Linked DNA regions of Notamacropus eugenii. The main gene of each other region encodes a partner of the protein of the gene in region 2 in a complex. Links are inferred from orthologs where the notes say so. Each region holds a gene or a part of one and is shown on either strand. Other genes may lie near its edges.

Region 1 (7,826 bases), on a different chromosome or scaffold from region 2:
TCTACATTGTAGCTAGAGTGTATAACTCTCCATTTCCTGTTCTAGCCCAGTTCTTTTCCATCTCTGCTCATTTGTATTTACTCCATTCATTGAACCTGGAATATATACTTTAATTTCCCCAACCCCCAATTCCCAATTTCTTAAAACTCCCTCCCATCTCCCAGGGTCCAAATCAGGTACTGCCTTTCTTCATGCCAATCCCAGTCCACCCAACTAGAAATGGTTTCTTTCTCATCAGATTTTTGATGGTACTTTGTGGGAAGCTTTACATTTTCATATTCTGCCTAGTATGGTTAAATTAATGTCATGTCTCATGTAAGACTAAAAGCAGATGTGTTCCCAAGACATCGTCTAACTTTTTGTATTTCCAGAGCCTCACACAGTGCCTGGCACATAGTAAGTGCTTCATAAATACTTGTTAATGGAAGCAAAGGGACTTTTTTTCTCACAAAAAGGACAGCATTACTAATTCAACTTATGGCTCCATTTATGAATCTGATATCATAATTTCACACTGAACTCCCAAACCCTTTGGCTTTTATTCTTGAAAGATAACAGATCAGGAAAAGAACAAGATTAGGGGATGACTTCAATATTATTTGTGGGATTAACCACGTAGCTTGATATAGTAAAAAGAGCACTGCATTTGGAATCAGGAGGTTTTGCCATTAACTAGGCTGAGTGAGTAATTTAACCTTTCTGGGCTTCAGTTGTCTGCTGGCAAAATGAAGGTGTTAGATTAGATGGACCCTGAGGTCTTTTCCAGCTCTAATTCTATGATCTTGTTTCTTCATAGAAAGTGGAATCTAATCTACAGAAGAGTTAAGGCCTTCAACCTGAATCTGAGCTAGAAAAGACCCTCAAGTCTAATTTCCTCATTTTACAACTGAAAACACTGAGGTCCAGAAAAGTTGTGACTTTTTCAAGGTTACCTAGAGCATTAGAGAAGCCACTTCTCATTTCCCTTTGTGCAGCACTCTAAGGGAGATATTACAGCAGGAGCTGATGGAGAAATAGGCAAGGAAATCTTTGCCCCTGATTGAATAGTAAATAGTGTTGTTTCAGCCAAAGTGAGACCAAAGAGAAGTTTCAGGACCTACTGGTTATTCCACTTTTGAAAGGAAGGGAGGGAGGGAGGAAGGGGGAAAGAAATGGAGGAAGGGAGGGAGAAAGGAATAAAGTTCTTTTGACTTATTTTCCTGTTGGCTGCTGGAGCCTATTTCACACACAAAAAGATGGCTAAATGGTTCAGGGCCGTGGGACTGCGAGTAAGAACGGATCATAAAGGCGGAAAGGATTTTAGAAACAATCTAACCTAAGAGGTGGAAAGGATTTTAGAAACAATCTAACCTAAGAGGTGGAAAGGATTTTAGAAACAATGTAACTTAATTCCCTCTTTTTACAGATTCAGGACCCAGGATCACACAGGTAGGAAATCCCCAAGCTGGGATTCCAACCAAGGTGCTATGATGCCATATCCAGCACCTCCTTTCTTCCCCAGAAACTCCTGAGCGTGGGTTAAATTAGGAATGGGATGACATAGGAGCCAAATCAGAGTATTAGCGGGCAGTGTGGTGCAGAGGACAGACATGAGGCTTGGCGTCAGAAGTTCTGGCGTCCCTGGCTACTGAGACCAAGGGAAGTTACTGAAAGATCTTTGTATGAGGGGGGAAGGAATACCATATTTGCGTTACCACCTGGCAGAGCCGCCCAGGGTAAAGCGTTTTGGACTTTGCTAAGAGCTCTACACGCAAGAGCTCACTATTCTTTCTTGGTTCCCTGGTTCCCACGCCCGTGGGGTGGACTCGTTCGCCTGGGTTCGGGGCTCGGAGACGAAGGAATCCAGCCACGTCCCTTGTCATTTGTCGGTAGCTGGGGTGCCTGCGGGGCTCAATGCTCCCAAGCCGTGGTCATGGACTTTCCAGCACTCCAGTCCCCTGGAGAGCCCTCCTCCATTCCTCCTCTGTCCGGGCTGGGAAGTCCGTGGGCCGTGGGAGCACCCACTGGCTCCTCTCCCCATTGTTTCCAGCTGCCTCCCCTCCCCCGCTCTGCCTCCAGGACTCGTTCGGAGGGGCCGGGGAAGGACTATTGATTTCCACCGGGAGGGCTTCTTTTAGCCCGAGTAGTGACAGCGTGACAGCGGAGGAGCAGGAGGGGAAAGGTGAGGACGCGAGGGAGTTCTGAGAGGGGGCCCTCCCCCTGGCCGGCTTCGGTTACCGTCCCTTGGGTACTCCGGCCAGGGGAGGACTGGGGACTGGATGCCCAACCCTCGCGGCCAGCCCCAGTTCCTGGTGCCCCAGACCGCGGAGATCGCTCCCCGCCACCCCACTTCCTGGCCCTCCCCCCGCCCCGGCCTTGGGGGAGGGGTAGGCTGACCCCGCCGCCGCCGCGTCGCCCCTTCCCCGCCCTCTCCGTCCGCTCCCGCAGCCCAATCAGCGTCGGCGGCGGCCGCGAGGACTCCTCCCCTCCCAGGAGCCCGCCCCCGCCCCCGCCCGAGGCCCCGGAAGGTGCGGAGCTCTCGCGGCTGCGGACTCGGGTTTGCCGGGGCCGGCTGTCTGTCGGAGGCCGCCTCCTTCTCCCGGAAACACCGGGCGGGGAGGGGGGATCCCACACCCCGGGGCCGGCCGGGGGGAGGGGGAGGAGGAGGGGGCGGAGGCTGGGGCGGGGGCGGGGGCTGCTGCTGCTGCCCTGGGCGGGGCGGACACGGCTCCTGGCTGGGTGTGCGTGGGGAGTCGCCGAGCGTCCCGCGGCCGCCCCGGAGAGTCCGGAAGGAGCCGCCGCCGCCGCCGCCGCCGCCGCTGCCTCTGCCTCTGCCTGCCCGGGAGGAGGAGGAAGAAGAGGAGGAGGCGCTGCCGCTCGGCCGTCGTGCATGGAGACTGCGCGGCCCACCACCAGCCGCTGATCCCCGAGCCCCCGGCGCCCCGGCCGGGACGAGCGTGGGGGTGCCGGGCCGGGCAGGCCGCCGCTGCCGCCCGCCCGTCCTGCTCCTCGTCCGATCCGCCCGCCGCCGCCGCCGTCGCCGCGGGGAAGGGGCCCGGCCCGGTCGGTCCGGAGCGGCGGCGCAGCCATGGCTCACTCGCCCGTGCAGCCGGGCCTGCCCGGGATGCAGGTGAGAGCGGCGGGGAGCGGGCGTGCGAGAGTGTGGTAGAGGGAATCGTGCGGGAAGGAGCGGGCGTGAGTGCGTGCCTGAGTTTGTGGCAGTGCCAGGGTGCGATGGTGTGACTGTGTGAGTTTGTGGGAATGTGAGGAACTTCTCCCGGTAAACAGAACCCCCCAAGCCGCCAGCTCCGCTCACCCTTCCGGGAGGGGGTGCGCCGGCGAGGCTGCCTCCGCCCCCCGGGCCCGGGGAGGGCGAGGTCTCGGGGGCTCCGTGCACCCGGACACGCCGCCTGCTCTAGGAAGGAGGGAGGAGGAAGTGGAGGAGAAGAGGGTCCTGCAGACCTTCCCCGCCGCGGGCGGGGGAGCTGTGGGCGTGAACGTGGCCCTGGCCGGGTGGAGAGGCCGCCCCGGCCTCCAGGGAGGGACTCTGCCCCGCCGAGGCTTTCCTCCTCTTCCCTCTAAGCTCCCGGCTCCGGGGAGGAGTGATGCCCCCCTTTACTGTGGGTCTCGAGGTGTTCTAGGCCGAAGGGGGGAAATGAGGGTAGAGGTTGGAGAAGCCCCCTTGGGGCAGCCCCTGGGCAGAGGGCGGAGGGGGAGGGAGAAAGCGGAGCCGAGCAGGTCCGGACTGGTGCGGCGGGCCGGGCCAGGAGCCCGGGAAGGCGGGGTGCCGGGGGGCGGGGGGTGCTTTTTAAAACCAGCTTTGCAGGCAGAGCTTTTCCAGTATCCAACTTGGAGGAGCTTGTTGTGGAGCCACGGGGGGAGGGAAGCCCAAGGGGACCCTCTGGGACAAATCCGCTTCCACAAGACCCCGGAGAGGAGAGAGGAGGCAGGAGGCGATCCCTGCCGTGGATACAATGTTACTCGCCTCCCCTCCTCGCCTCGGACGCCCCTCAGCAGATTCCAGGACACCATATTTTTTTTTTTTAGTTTGACTTCCTGTTTTCATGGGGTATCGCTTAGCTACCCCTCCGAACTTTATGTCGATACTTTCCAGCATCGTGACCAAAAAGTACGTTTTTTGGAGCAGTTTTTGTCTGGTTGTGAACATTTTTTTGGCCTTTTGACATACAGTGTTTTCCAAAATCTTACTGCAGTTTCAAACTGTACCAAGACTTTTGGGACGCCCTTTATAGTGTCCTCATACCTTTATAAGTTGATGCTATTTTAAATAGCTTCAGAATTATTAGGATATAAAATCTACATCACCGCTCTCCACATATAGACACAAAATATCTTTGTTTTTTTACTATATCAAAGTAATATGTACATGGTGTAATTTTTTCTTAAAATTAACCAACATGGCTTTACAGGTTTACGTAAATAATCTTGGTGACCAGTCTTTTGGGATTCATCCCTGTTCTAAGCAATTTGATGACTTCTGGTCAATAATCTTTCATCTGGCTAGAGAACAACCCCCATGGCACTCTGTACCTTTCTTAGGGGCTTAACATTTTTTCCCTTATGCTTTAGGTTATTTGTGTAATGAACTTAATCTTATTACGTTGTGAGTTTGCTATGGGAAGGCCTAGGCCTTAGGTCAGGAGGATGTCAACTTGTTATAAAAAATATTTTGACAACAATTTTAATATAATTTATTTCCTTTGTAATTCTATGCTGTTGGATTCTTTTTTTTTTCATTTAAAAACATTTTTCTGACAAGGCTTCTTTAGGTTTCACCGGACTGCCAAATGGCAAAAAAAAAAACCAAAACAAAACTCCTCTTGGTAGAAGAAAGAGACCTGATTTTGCGAATGGTAAATCTGAGTTTAAACTTTAATTTTGATACTTAATAGCTGAGTAAGTCATTTAAATTCTTTGGGTCTCAGTTTCTTTATCTGTCAAATCAGAATAAAAATGATGTTTGCTATTTATTTCTCTTGGTACTTGTGAGAAAAACACTTTGAGAACATTAAGGTGTATAACTGTCACTTCTGTCACCATTTCTAAGAACTGTGCCTTGCGTATTAAGGTGCACAGTAAATTTTTGTTGAATTGAGTAAATGGCATTCTTCAAAGTTTTTTTTTAAAGGAAATTAAAAGCCTCATCTCATGAGAGATGCTTTCGTTTTAGGAATTTCAGATTTTTATAAACTTGTACGTGCAATTGAGGATGGCAGCTGCATTTTCAGTTATGTTTTAGCTATGTGCTCTTAGAAATATTAAAGTGAAGGTGGTGATAGTGGATGTTGTGAAATGGGCTTTGAAACTCATGATTCAATGAAATAAAGTAATTATGCTGTTGCAACTAAATAAATAATTAAAAGTGGCTTTTAAAAAATGTTGGTAAAACTCTGTAGTAAAAAAAGAAATCAGTCTCTTGTATATTTGATTTAATTTTGAAAGGTGGCATTGAATGTTACCTAACCAGTGAAACAAGAATGGCATCTTGTAATAAAATTGATCAAGAGGCATTTCGTGTTGACTGGTTTCTCTGTGGCAGTGTCAGAAACCAGACCATCTCCGAACCAATTTTCTCAGATACTTAGGAATTAGATAAGTGGTAAAAGTGGCCCATTTATGTATTAAGTGCTAGATACTAGGGTTTTGTTTGCACAAAGTGGATTGTAATAGGAAATAACTTCTTAGAGACTTGTATACATTGGGGCTTCTAAGTCAGTATAAAATTGTGGGAATCATTTGGGTATCCAGTATCAGCAACTGCTTAAGAGGGATACATTGGTTAAGTATTTTTTTAAAGTGGAAAAAAAAATTTCTTGCCTTGTGTCTTAAGAGCAAACAAGTATACTTTTCTTGGTAACTGTATAGTGAAAAAATTTGTTTTGGGCTTTTGGAAAAAAAAGACTTGAAAAAAATGTCTTGACAGGAAAGTTATCCCAATTTTGCCATGTTCCTAGTGAGTTTAGGGTTGCCAGTGTGATATGAAGGCATCATCTGTGTGCCTTAGAATTTGTTGATACTTCTTACTCTATTTTGGGAAGAAAATAGTAAAATGTTTTCTCTTCATAGTTGGCCCCTTTAGTTTCCCACCATCAACTTTTTCCCCCAATTGAATCAACAACTCCTTAGAAGCTTCATTAAGGAGAGCTAATTTTTTTTTAATAGTCTGGGGAAGTAGATGGTTAAATTAAAGGAGTAGCTGGCAACTTGCCATTACCCAGGCTAGTCTACAATCCTCTATACTACCTATGAGGACTCTCTTCTTCCCCCCCATCTCTATCCTCTGACTAGACTTTGGGTGTAAGGTTTTGGTATAAACTATAGGTAAAAGGAAGAGGAGTAGGTTATTCTTATATTAATTCATTTTGGTCCAGAATTACCCATGGTCTAAACCTGAAATTTGAAAAGTGTGCAATACTAAACACTCCAATTTATTTGCAACATATCTCTATGCAATATTTCTTTTAAAAATGCAATTAAAATACTAAGTGTCTACTGTGATCATTGTACTGTGGGATACAATGATAGGGCAAAAGGGACATAACTTTCTTTTAGATTGTAAACTCTTTGAGGGTTAGAGCCAAATACACAAAGAACTAAGTGTAGCTATACTAAACTATATCACAGCTATGAGCTGTACTTTATTACCGTTATATAGGCTGTGATAAATGCATTGGAGAGGTCAGAAGATTCTGGTAATTGCTACTTTCTGAGGAAATCAGTAAGATTTTTTTGAAGGAAGTGGCATCTGAGCTAGATCTTAGGGAGAAAAGAAAGGCAGACATATGCAAATGAACCACTGTAGGAATAGGGGATAGATGCAGGTTCTATTCCGTTAAGCCAGCCCCTTTGTTAACTACAAAGGTTGTAGAATTCAAGAATGCTATTGGAGAACAGCCAGTAATCCAGTTTGGCCGGAACATAGAGTGCGTTAAGGTCAATAATGTGAAATAAGTGTAGGGTAGTGGAAAGAGTCCCGACATTGGAAGCAGAGAAACCTGTGTTACTTGGACATTAAGGAGCTTTGTAGCCATGAAAAAAATCACTTAGCCTCTCTCAGCTTCAGTTTTCTCATTGTAAAGTGGAGTGATAGTCATATTTCCTACTTAACAAGCTTGTTAGTATCCAGTGAGCGACTGTAGAGAAAGCATTATAAACCTTAAATCTCTCTATAAATGGAAGCTGTCATTATTAAATAATGCTAAAGAGTTAGGTTGCATGTTAGTGTAAGGAGTTTGAGTATGTTTAACGAGGAGACATGAAAGTCTTTGAATCAGGGGAGTGGGGAGGATGATTCTGACCTTGGAATTTTGAAGATGATTTTGACAGCAGAAGATGGGATTTGGAGAGGGGAGATTTCCCTACTGGGAGACAGAACAGTTGAAAGGCTGCTCCATTAGTCCAGGTGAGAAGTATCGAGTACCTTAATCATGGTGGTGTTCAGAGTGACTAGGAAGTGGATGTAAAAAAAAAGTTCCAGAAGTAGAATCAGATAAAACTTAGCAATTTAGTTCAACCGTATTTATTTAGTACCTACTGTGATACAAAGACAAAAATGAAGCAGTTTCTACCCTTAAAGAACTTAGGTTCTATGACAGTACAACATGTGCATGGTTAAGTAAGTACCCCCAAAATGAAGTAGTACAGAGCAGTTACACGAGATTGAAAACACTAATATTTGGGGGCTGAATGGGTGGAGGGAGGACCAGGAAAATCCTTGAATGGGAAGTGGCACCCGAATTATGCTTTTTAGGAAGCTAGGGATTCTAAGAGATGCAGTCCAGTCCAGATATGGAGGACAGACAGAGTTAGAAAGTTGCAGAGGTCCA
Region 2 (7,943 bases):
TGCCAGACTGCTTTCCAATTTTCTCAAGTTTTCTCAAATAGCAAGTTCCTTCCCAAATAGCTGGTATCTTTGGGTTTATCCAACACTACTAAGTGACTGTGCTCATTTGTTTCTGTGTATCTATTTGTGCTTTTGATTTAGTTTGCTCCTGTCTTCTTTAGAAGCTTGCTCATCACTCTCATCTTCAATGTCTTCCTATCTACTGTCTTCTTCAATGATGCCACATAAACAAGCTCTAGTCTCCTCACTTAAAAAAAGCAAACACCTTTCTTTAAACCTGCTACTCCCTCAAATTATTCTGTCTTTCTCTCCTTCCTTTTACTGCTAAACAACTAGTAAACGTAATGAACGCTGGCTGCCTCCTCTTACTACTTGTTCTCCAAAGTAGCCAATGATCTGGTGGCTAGACTTGATGGGTCATTTCTAAATTAACTCCCTCCTTGATCTTTTTGCAGTTTCTAACAATGTTGACCATTCCCTTCAGGAAAGTGTCTTTTCTCTTGGCTTCTGAAACACTGCTCTTTTCTGGTTCTTTTTCTACTAATCTGACCTTTGCTAGTTAAACTTCTTCTATGCCCTAAGCATCTCCTCCAATGCTTTGTCCTAGGCCCTCTTTATTTTATCTTTAAACTTTTCCCCTTTGTGATCTCACTGGCTCCCATAAGTTTAATTATTACTCTACACTGATGACTCTGACATCTCTATATCCAGACCTGTTTTCTCTACAGAACTCCAGGTCTACATCTCCACTTTCTTATGCATAAATCTGAACAAGCAACTCCCCTGGTGAACAAGACACTGCATCTCTCAGTCCTGGGTATTATCTCTGACTGTCCCCCCATGCTTTAAATGTTCTCCCTCCTCTGCTCTGCTCACCTCCCTTGCCTTCTTTAAGTCCTAACTAAAATCCTACCTTTTATAGGAACCCTTCCCTACTCTCTCTTAATTCCCGTGTCTTCCCTCTCTTTATTATTTCCTGTTTATTCTATACACAAATCGCTTTGCATATATTTGTTTGCTTGTTGTCTCCCCCATTAAATTGCAAGCCCTTTATGGATAAGGACTGTCTTTTGCCCTTTTTTCTATCTCCAGCTCTTAGCACAGTGCCTGGCATATAATAGGTGCTTAAAATATGTTTAATGATTTATTGGTTCCTTGTTTCCTCTAGAATAAAATACAAACTCCTTAGGTTGGCATTTAATAACCTAGTAAGTCACAGCTACAATCTTACTTTCTACAGGAAGCCTTTCCTAATCTCTCTTAAGATAAGTGTTTTCTATTGATTATTTCCAATTTATCCCGCATGTAGCTTGTCTGTTTGCATCCTGGGCCATCTCCAGTTGTCCTGATAAATATCAGGCCACTGTAACCAGATGGCTCAGGAGAAGAAAGAGAGGTTGTTGATTTTGCACAGCCCTCCCTCATTCAAATCAAAGTCAACTGCAAGTCATGTCATCATCTTAATATCATGGTCCTCTTCGAGAAGGAAGACAAACACAACCTGTGAATAACAGCTCCTCTCCTTTCCTCTCCTCTGGTGTTCTACCTAGGGGAAGGTACACTCCATGGCCAAAAGTTGCTTTTTTTTCTTTTGGTTTATGGCTACATTTCTTGCTTAAAGATCAAGCCTTAAATTCAATTCACTCTGGAGCTCGTAGACTAGACAAGTCTCTACCCACCTAGTATAAAGCGAATGTAATAACTAAATAGTAATTGTTTCTCTTTTACCTAGGAACCCGGAGGGTCTTCCCCTCCCAGCTTGATTTTTTTTTTAAAAATTAAATCAGTCATCCCTTGAGTAACATAAAGAAGCCTATTCATTGAACAGGTGAATCTCACTCAAAGTGAGAATGTGATAAGACCTAAGCCTGAAAGGGCCAGGGTCTCACATTGCATCCTGGGTCATCTCCAGTTGGCTCAGAAGAAAGTGAGTTTGGTGACCTTGTGTAACCCTTCCTCACTCAAATCAAAGTCAGCTGCAAGTCATGTCATCATCTTGATGTCATGGTCCTCTTTGAGAACGAAGGACAAACACAACAACCTCCCTCACTGGATTGCGAGCTCCTCAAGAGCAGAGAATGTCTTTTACCTGTCTTTCTATTCCCAGTGTTTACTCACTGACTGTATTCTATGCACCAATCAAACTGGGCTCCTAACTATTCCCCAGATGATATGCCATCTTCGGCCTTTATGATTTTGCATAAATTATCCTCCTGGGAAGGCATTCCCCCTTCAGCTGTCCCTCTCAAGATCCCAGTCTTGGTTCAAGACTCATTTTAGGTGTCACCCTCTCCTTCCATGAATTACACTCCCAACAACCTCAAGCTAAAAATGCTCCATCTCTTCTCAGTTATTCCTAGAGCACTTTTTTTGAGATCTCTCCTTTACCCCCAAAACTAATGTTGTATTTATAGATGTATATGACTTATTCCACCCACCCCAGGAAAGGAGAATTTTGTTTCTGTCTTTGTATCCTTAGATATGCACCTAACACTGTGTTTTATGCCTCTTCCTCTCTCTCATGTTTCTTTTCATCTTCCAGACTAAACACCCTTCATTCTTTAATCCATTCTTTTTTGGAAGGCACTTAAACTCAAAGGAGAAGTACTCTAATTCTCACAAAAAGATTATTTACTCTAGATTTGTGGACACTTCTAAAAATAATGGTTATCTGGTTTCCCAGCCCGTAACAGATTGAAAGCAGCAAAGGGAAAGCAGGGTCAGAGAACATTCTGGAGAAGGGAAGACTTTCGTTGATGACTTGTTTTTCATTGAGGTTGGACTCTCTGTGATCCCATTTGATGTTTTCCTGGCAAAGGCACTGGCGTGGTTTGCCATTTCCTTCTCCACCTCGTTTTATAGATGAATAAACTGAGGCAAACAAGGTTAAGTGACTTGCTCAGGAACACCCAGCTAGTAAGTGTCTGAGCCCAGATCTGAACTCAGGAAGATGAGTCTTCCTTATTCCAAGGCCCTGGGCTCTATTCACTGTGACACATAGCTGCTCTTAAGACCTTTATCCACTCGATCATTTTTTCTTTACCTGATATGGTGTGCTGCCCTGTACCATTTTGTTTATCCCCCTTTGAACAAGAAAAAATGTGGTCAAGGTCCATTTGATGATGTAGCCATAAAACTAAATGCAGTACTCCAAGCAAAACAAGCATATCAGAGATTCTGTTCTAGTCTTCAAATTCACGTTAACAAATTACTTGTCTCCACGCTGCAGAAAATTGGCAAAGCACTTAAATATAAGCAAATTTCAAGGATACGGGGCAAAGTACATTTAATTTCCCAGAGAACAGTTGGGAGGGGAAATTTAAAAAGGTTACACAATCTGAGATCATACAAGCCTTGAAAAGTACCTGAAATTCTTACTTTTAGAAATTCATTCCCAAAATTTACAGATTTCTTTACACAAGCAAATTATCCTTCAGGGGCTAACACAGTAAAGAAGTCATTGCAATATCAAACATTTACTTTAATAAATTTATCAGAGATAGTAAGCCAGTTACTTGGGGAGACCCATAAAATAGATTTTGGCTAGGGTGTGGCTGGAGAAGAAAGGAAGGGACACAAAAATGAGGAACAGGAAGCCTGAGGAAGTTGGAAAGAAGCACTGGATTCAGAGCAAGCCAACTTGGGATTAAGCCCAAACGGACCTTCGCTATTTACTATGCGTAACTATGGACAAGTCAGGCCTTGTGGGCCTCAGTTTGTACATCTGTAAAACGGAAGCTTTGGGACTGCGTGACCTGAGGTCTCTTCCAGTCTGAAATCCTATTTTAAAATGGGGACTGATAAACCTTATGCCAGGTGATGGGGATACAAAAGAGGCAAAGAGACTCTAGGGAGGTGGTTGGAAGGGAACTCTCCCATGGAAGCTACAACCCCAGGAACAACCTTATCCGCCGTATTTAACGGAACAGGTCTTCGCAGCCCGGGGGAGAAGCGCGGCCCCCTCCCCGCCCCGACGTCCGCAGCCCAGTCTGGGAAGCAGTGCCAGCGAGGGCAGGGGGCAGCGCTGAGGGCACGTCCGACGCCGTCCTGGGCACCCCAGGCGAAGAGGGAAGGAGAAAGGGAAACTTCCCCCCTCCCACGGGCCGCACACGGGCCGGTCACCCTCAGCACGCTCTTCCAGACCAGACCGCAGCAAAGTGTGGCCCTCCCCCACAGAGCCGGAGCCGCGGTCCGGCCGAAGTCCAGCGTGGGAAGAACCAAAGCGGGCTCCGGGTCAGCCGCGGAGCCTGAGTTACTACCAGAACGGAGAAGAGGCCGGCACGGGCCAAGAACCGAGGAAGAGGGAGTGACAGACAGACAGACGCGGAGGGGCGGCGGGAACCACGCAAGGAATGCCAAAGAAATGCGAGGAATGCGGCGCCGGAACAGCAGAACCGGCTCCAATCCGGCCCTGGCGGCGGCCTCCCCGCTCGTCCCGCGGCGCTGGGTGCGGGGATACAGCCGGGCGGGACGAGCTTACTCGGGAAGGTAGCAAAGAGGAAAGTCCTGCGGTCCAGATTAAGTCAGAAGAGGAGCCACCGAGTCCAGCCCGGGCAGCCCAGCCAGCCCAGCCCGGGCAGCCCAGCCCGGGAGCCGAGCTGCTGTGGGCGGGGGAGGGGGACGCCCCCACGGCTCCTCCCACCTCGCGTCTTGGCCCCTCCCTTCCTCAGTGCGCTTGCGCAACGGTGGAGCCCGACTCTATTTGGCTATAAGATTTGCGGCAGCGGCACCAGCGTCGCTTACCCAGCATGCCGCGCGGGGGCGACGGCTGTACGACTACCCCTTTCCCTCCCCCGTCCCCCCACGTTACCCTCCTTTCCCCCTCCCCTCCGCCCCCCCTCCCTCCAGTGAGTGAGTGAGACGGGCAGATGGAGGAGGGACTGTAATGGCGGCGGCCGGCAGCTCCCTGCTCTGACCCGCGGCAGACACTTAGCAACGACCCCCTCCCCGCCCCTCTCCCCGCGGGCCGCCGCCCAGCCGCCCGCGCGGGGCCACCTTCCTCCTCCTTCCCCCCCGCCCCCGGCCGTCCGCGTTTCCCCCCGCGCCCCGGCCGGGGCCCCTCACACAATGGATGAGCTCCCGGGAGGCGGCGGCGGCGGCGGCGGCCCGGGGATGGCAGCCCCTCGGCAGCAGCAGCAGGGGCCGGGGGTCAACATGAACCTGCAGCCGGGAGTCGGCGGCGGCGCGGCTCAGCCGGCGGCGGCGGAGGGCGCGGGCCCCTCGGCGGGCCCGGAGCTGTCCCGGCCGCAGCAGTACACGATCCCGGGCATCCTGCACTACATCCAGCACGAGTGGGCGCGCTTCGAGATGGAGCGGGCGCACTGGGAAGTGGAGCGGGCCGAACTGCAGGTAGCCGGTCGCGGGACCCCGGGGTGGGGAGGACGGCGGGACCTCGACGGGAGGGTGGAGGGGGTGGGGCCCGCGCGGGGATCCCGGGCCCGAGGGCACCGGCTGGGCGAGACGTACCTTGGGGGCCCGGGCCGAGGAGGAGCGGCGGCGGCGGCGGCGGCGGCAGGTCCCGGCAGGGGTCCCCTCCCCCTCCTCCCTCCCGCGGCGGGAAGCCTTCTCGGCGGCCCTCACTGGCTGCGCGATGCGGGCTTCCTCGGGGCAGCCATTTTGGTTTCTAGTATGGCGTCCGCCGGGGCTTCTCCGGCGGCTGCGGCGGCGCCGGCCCGACCTGGGGAGCCGTGGCCCCGGGACGATCCCTCCGCCGAACCCCCGGGGGTGGGGGGAGGGAGGCTGGCGGCGGGACGCGCGCGCGACGGCTGCCCTCAGCCCTTCCCCCCCTCGGGTCAGACACCCCGGCCCGGATCGTGCCGGACTCTTCCTCCTCCCCTTTTCTCCTCCTCCCAGCAGGTCCTCCCCCCGCCCCCCACCTGCCCTTTGACAGCTGCCCTCCCCGGAGCATCCCCGCTCCCTCCGAAAAGGATCTGAAGTTTGCTCTGCGCGCGGCCGAACTTGGCTTGGGGGGCCCGGTCACCTAGGTGGTGTCCCCTCCCCCCTCTCCCTTTGGGTCCCTAACGTGCCCCAACTTCGGGCCAACTCTTGAACTCTCGGATGATGAATAATTCTTAAGTTTGCTTCACTTATCCCTGAGTCCCAAGCAGTCACTTCCTTCTGTCTGCTGCTTGGTGTTAGGAAACAGAGGAAAGGGCAGATTGGACTTAAATCGGGCTGGAATAAAGAACAGTTATTTGCATATTTCAAACTCCCTTTTGGGGGAGGAAATGGAAAATGAAGTATGCCTCACCCTGAAAAATGGGAAGAACACGAGTGTATAGGCTTTTGCAGCAGAATAGGAGCTTGGATTTAAGAACCTATTGTTGGTGTATCTGTTGGGAAAGAATGTTTTAGTGGACAGTACCAACGTGTTTATTTTTAATCCCTTTCCAAGGCAAATTTAGGACTGGGAGGTGGGGTTGGACAGCGTCTCTGCTACAAAGTATTGCACCTGTTTTGTTTTTTTGATACAATGTTGCGTGCAATATTGTAGTTCGGTGTACGTGTGCACGCTAAGTAGTTACGGAAAGATAATATGGAGGGGAAACTACCTATTTAAAAAGATTTCATCTCACATGTCTTAATCAGGCCAGTAACGTTTTGGAGTCAATAGGGTTTTTTTTTCCTTTGGTCTTATAAATAGTGAAGTCACAAAATGAGGTTAATGATTTTTTTTTAAAGTGAAAATTATAATTTTGCTTTGGAAATTGTCTTTATCAAGCCTTAGAAAATAAGATTATGAGATTAATTCGATTCCTGTCAGCTTTTTTTTTTTTAAACATTTGTGGATTTTATCTCTTATTTTATAGTATTGGACTTTAAAAACATGAAATTTTTAAAAAGTGTTTTTATGTAAACAGTGCTTTCTGCCTTTTATACTTTGGGGTATAATGATACATGGTATATTGTGCATTTTAAATGACTTGCTGAAAGTTTGTAGTGGCCTGCAGATAGTGTTATATACTGTCTACTACACAGTTACCCATGTAAGTGGACTAATCATTTAGAAAAGGGTTTTTAAAAAGCATCTGTGTTGGAAATTGAATTTATTTCATTATACGAGTGTTGTCCATAATAATGTTGTCCATAAGTACGTAATAAAAATTTGTGCAGTGTGGTTGATCGGTTTGAAACGGCATTAGGAAGAATTATTAGGTATGATCATTTGTCCTATTTTTTTGTTGGTGGTTTTGAAATGCAGTAATGCAGTCTAAATGTTGATGACTGGTGTATTTTATATGGAATCAAGCCTGGGATTTGTATTTTAGGACTTTTCTAAATAAGAATTTCATCAGTCACTCTTAAACTGTAGTGTAACACAAGCAAAAGAGATGTTACTGGTTTACTAGTGGAGTTGTTAGTGATGTTAATCCTATGATATCTATTTTGACCTTGCCTTTTCTATCCTTTCTCCTTCTGAAACTCCTTTTCCCCTGCAGCAACCTATCTATGCTTGCCTGTTCTGGGAAAGTCTTGTCCATGTTCTCTTGAAAATCTTCCACAAAAGATGGTTCTAATCTATTTATCTTGGGGACGATCCTCTAGAATTCTTCACATTACTAAGTCACTGGGATCCTGGGTGCTCATTATTAGTTATCCATACTCTTGCTAGTGACAATCCTTTTTTTTTTTCTCTAAAGTCTGATAAACTGTTTCTCTTGTGTAGCTCACACCCACTGTGTGCCTCTATTTGCCTCTAACACTTCAGAAATCCTAGTACAATGCAAAGAGCAGAGGATTTGTAGTCAGACAAGCTGAGTTCGAATTCTAGTTCACAGTTAATGTGAACCCACCCAAGTCACAGAACCTCTCTGAGACTTAGTTTCTTTCCACTTCTATAAAAATATAAGGGGTTTGAACTGGATTACTTTTAAAGTTGCTGCCAGCTGTATCTGTGATTCATCTGTGATCACATATGTGTGTGTTTGTCTTTTGTTGCGGAA

What was found. Proteins that work in one complex are often made in the same cells at the same time.
Region 1: STRN3 (region 2) and STK24 share a complex: the UniProt entries of both Homo sapiens proteins name them as parts of the core of STRIPAK complex. The link is inferred for Notamacropus eugenii from reciprocal best matches to the Homo sapiens genes STRN3 and STK24.

The regions. Positions count from the first base shown.
Region 1 is NC_092877.1:228,121,749-228,129,574, forward strand, and holds the start of STK24 (serine/threonine-protein kinase 24), read left to right. Parts: upstream 1-4,754; 5' UTR 4,755-4,787; coding exon 4,788-4,853; intron 4,854-7,826. UniProt on the Homo sapiens protein: Serine/threonine-protein kinase that acts on both serine and threonine residues and promotes apoptosis in response to stress stimuli and caspase activation.
Region 2 is NC_092878.1:47,716,063-47,724,005, reverse strand, and holds the start of STRN3 (striatin-3), read left to right. Parts: upstream 1-4,858; 5' UTR 4,859-5,067; coding exon 5,068-5,349; intron 5,350-5,466; exon of another isoform or gene 5,467-5,590; intron 5,591-7,943. UniProt on the Homo sapiens protein: Calmodulin-binding scaffolding protein which is the center of the striatin-interacting phosphatase and kinase (STRIPAK) complexes.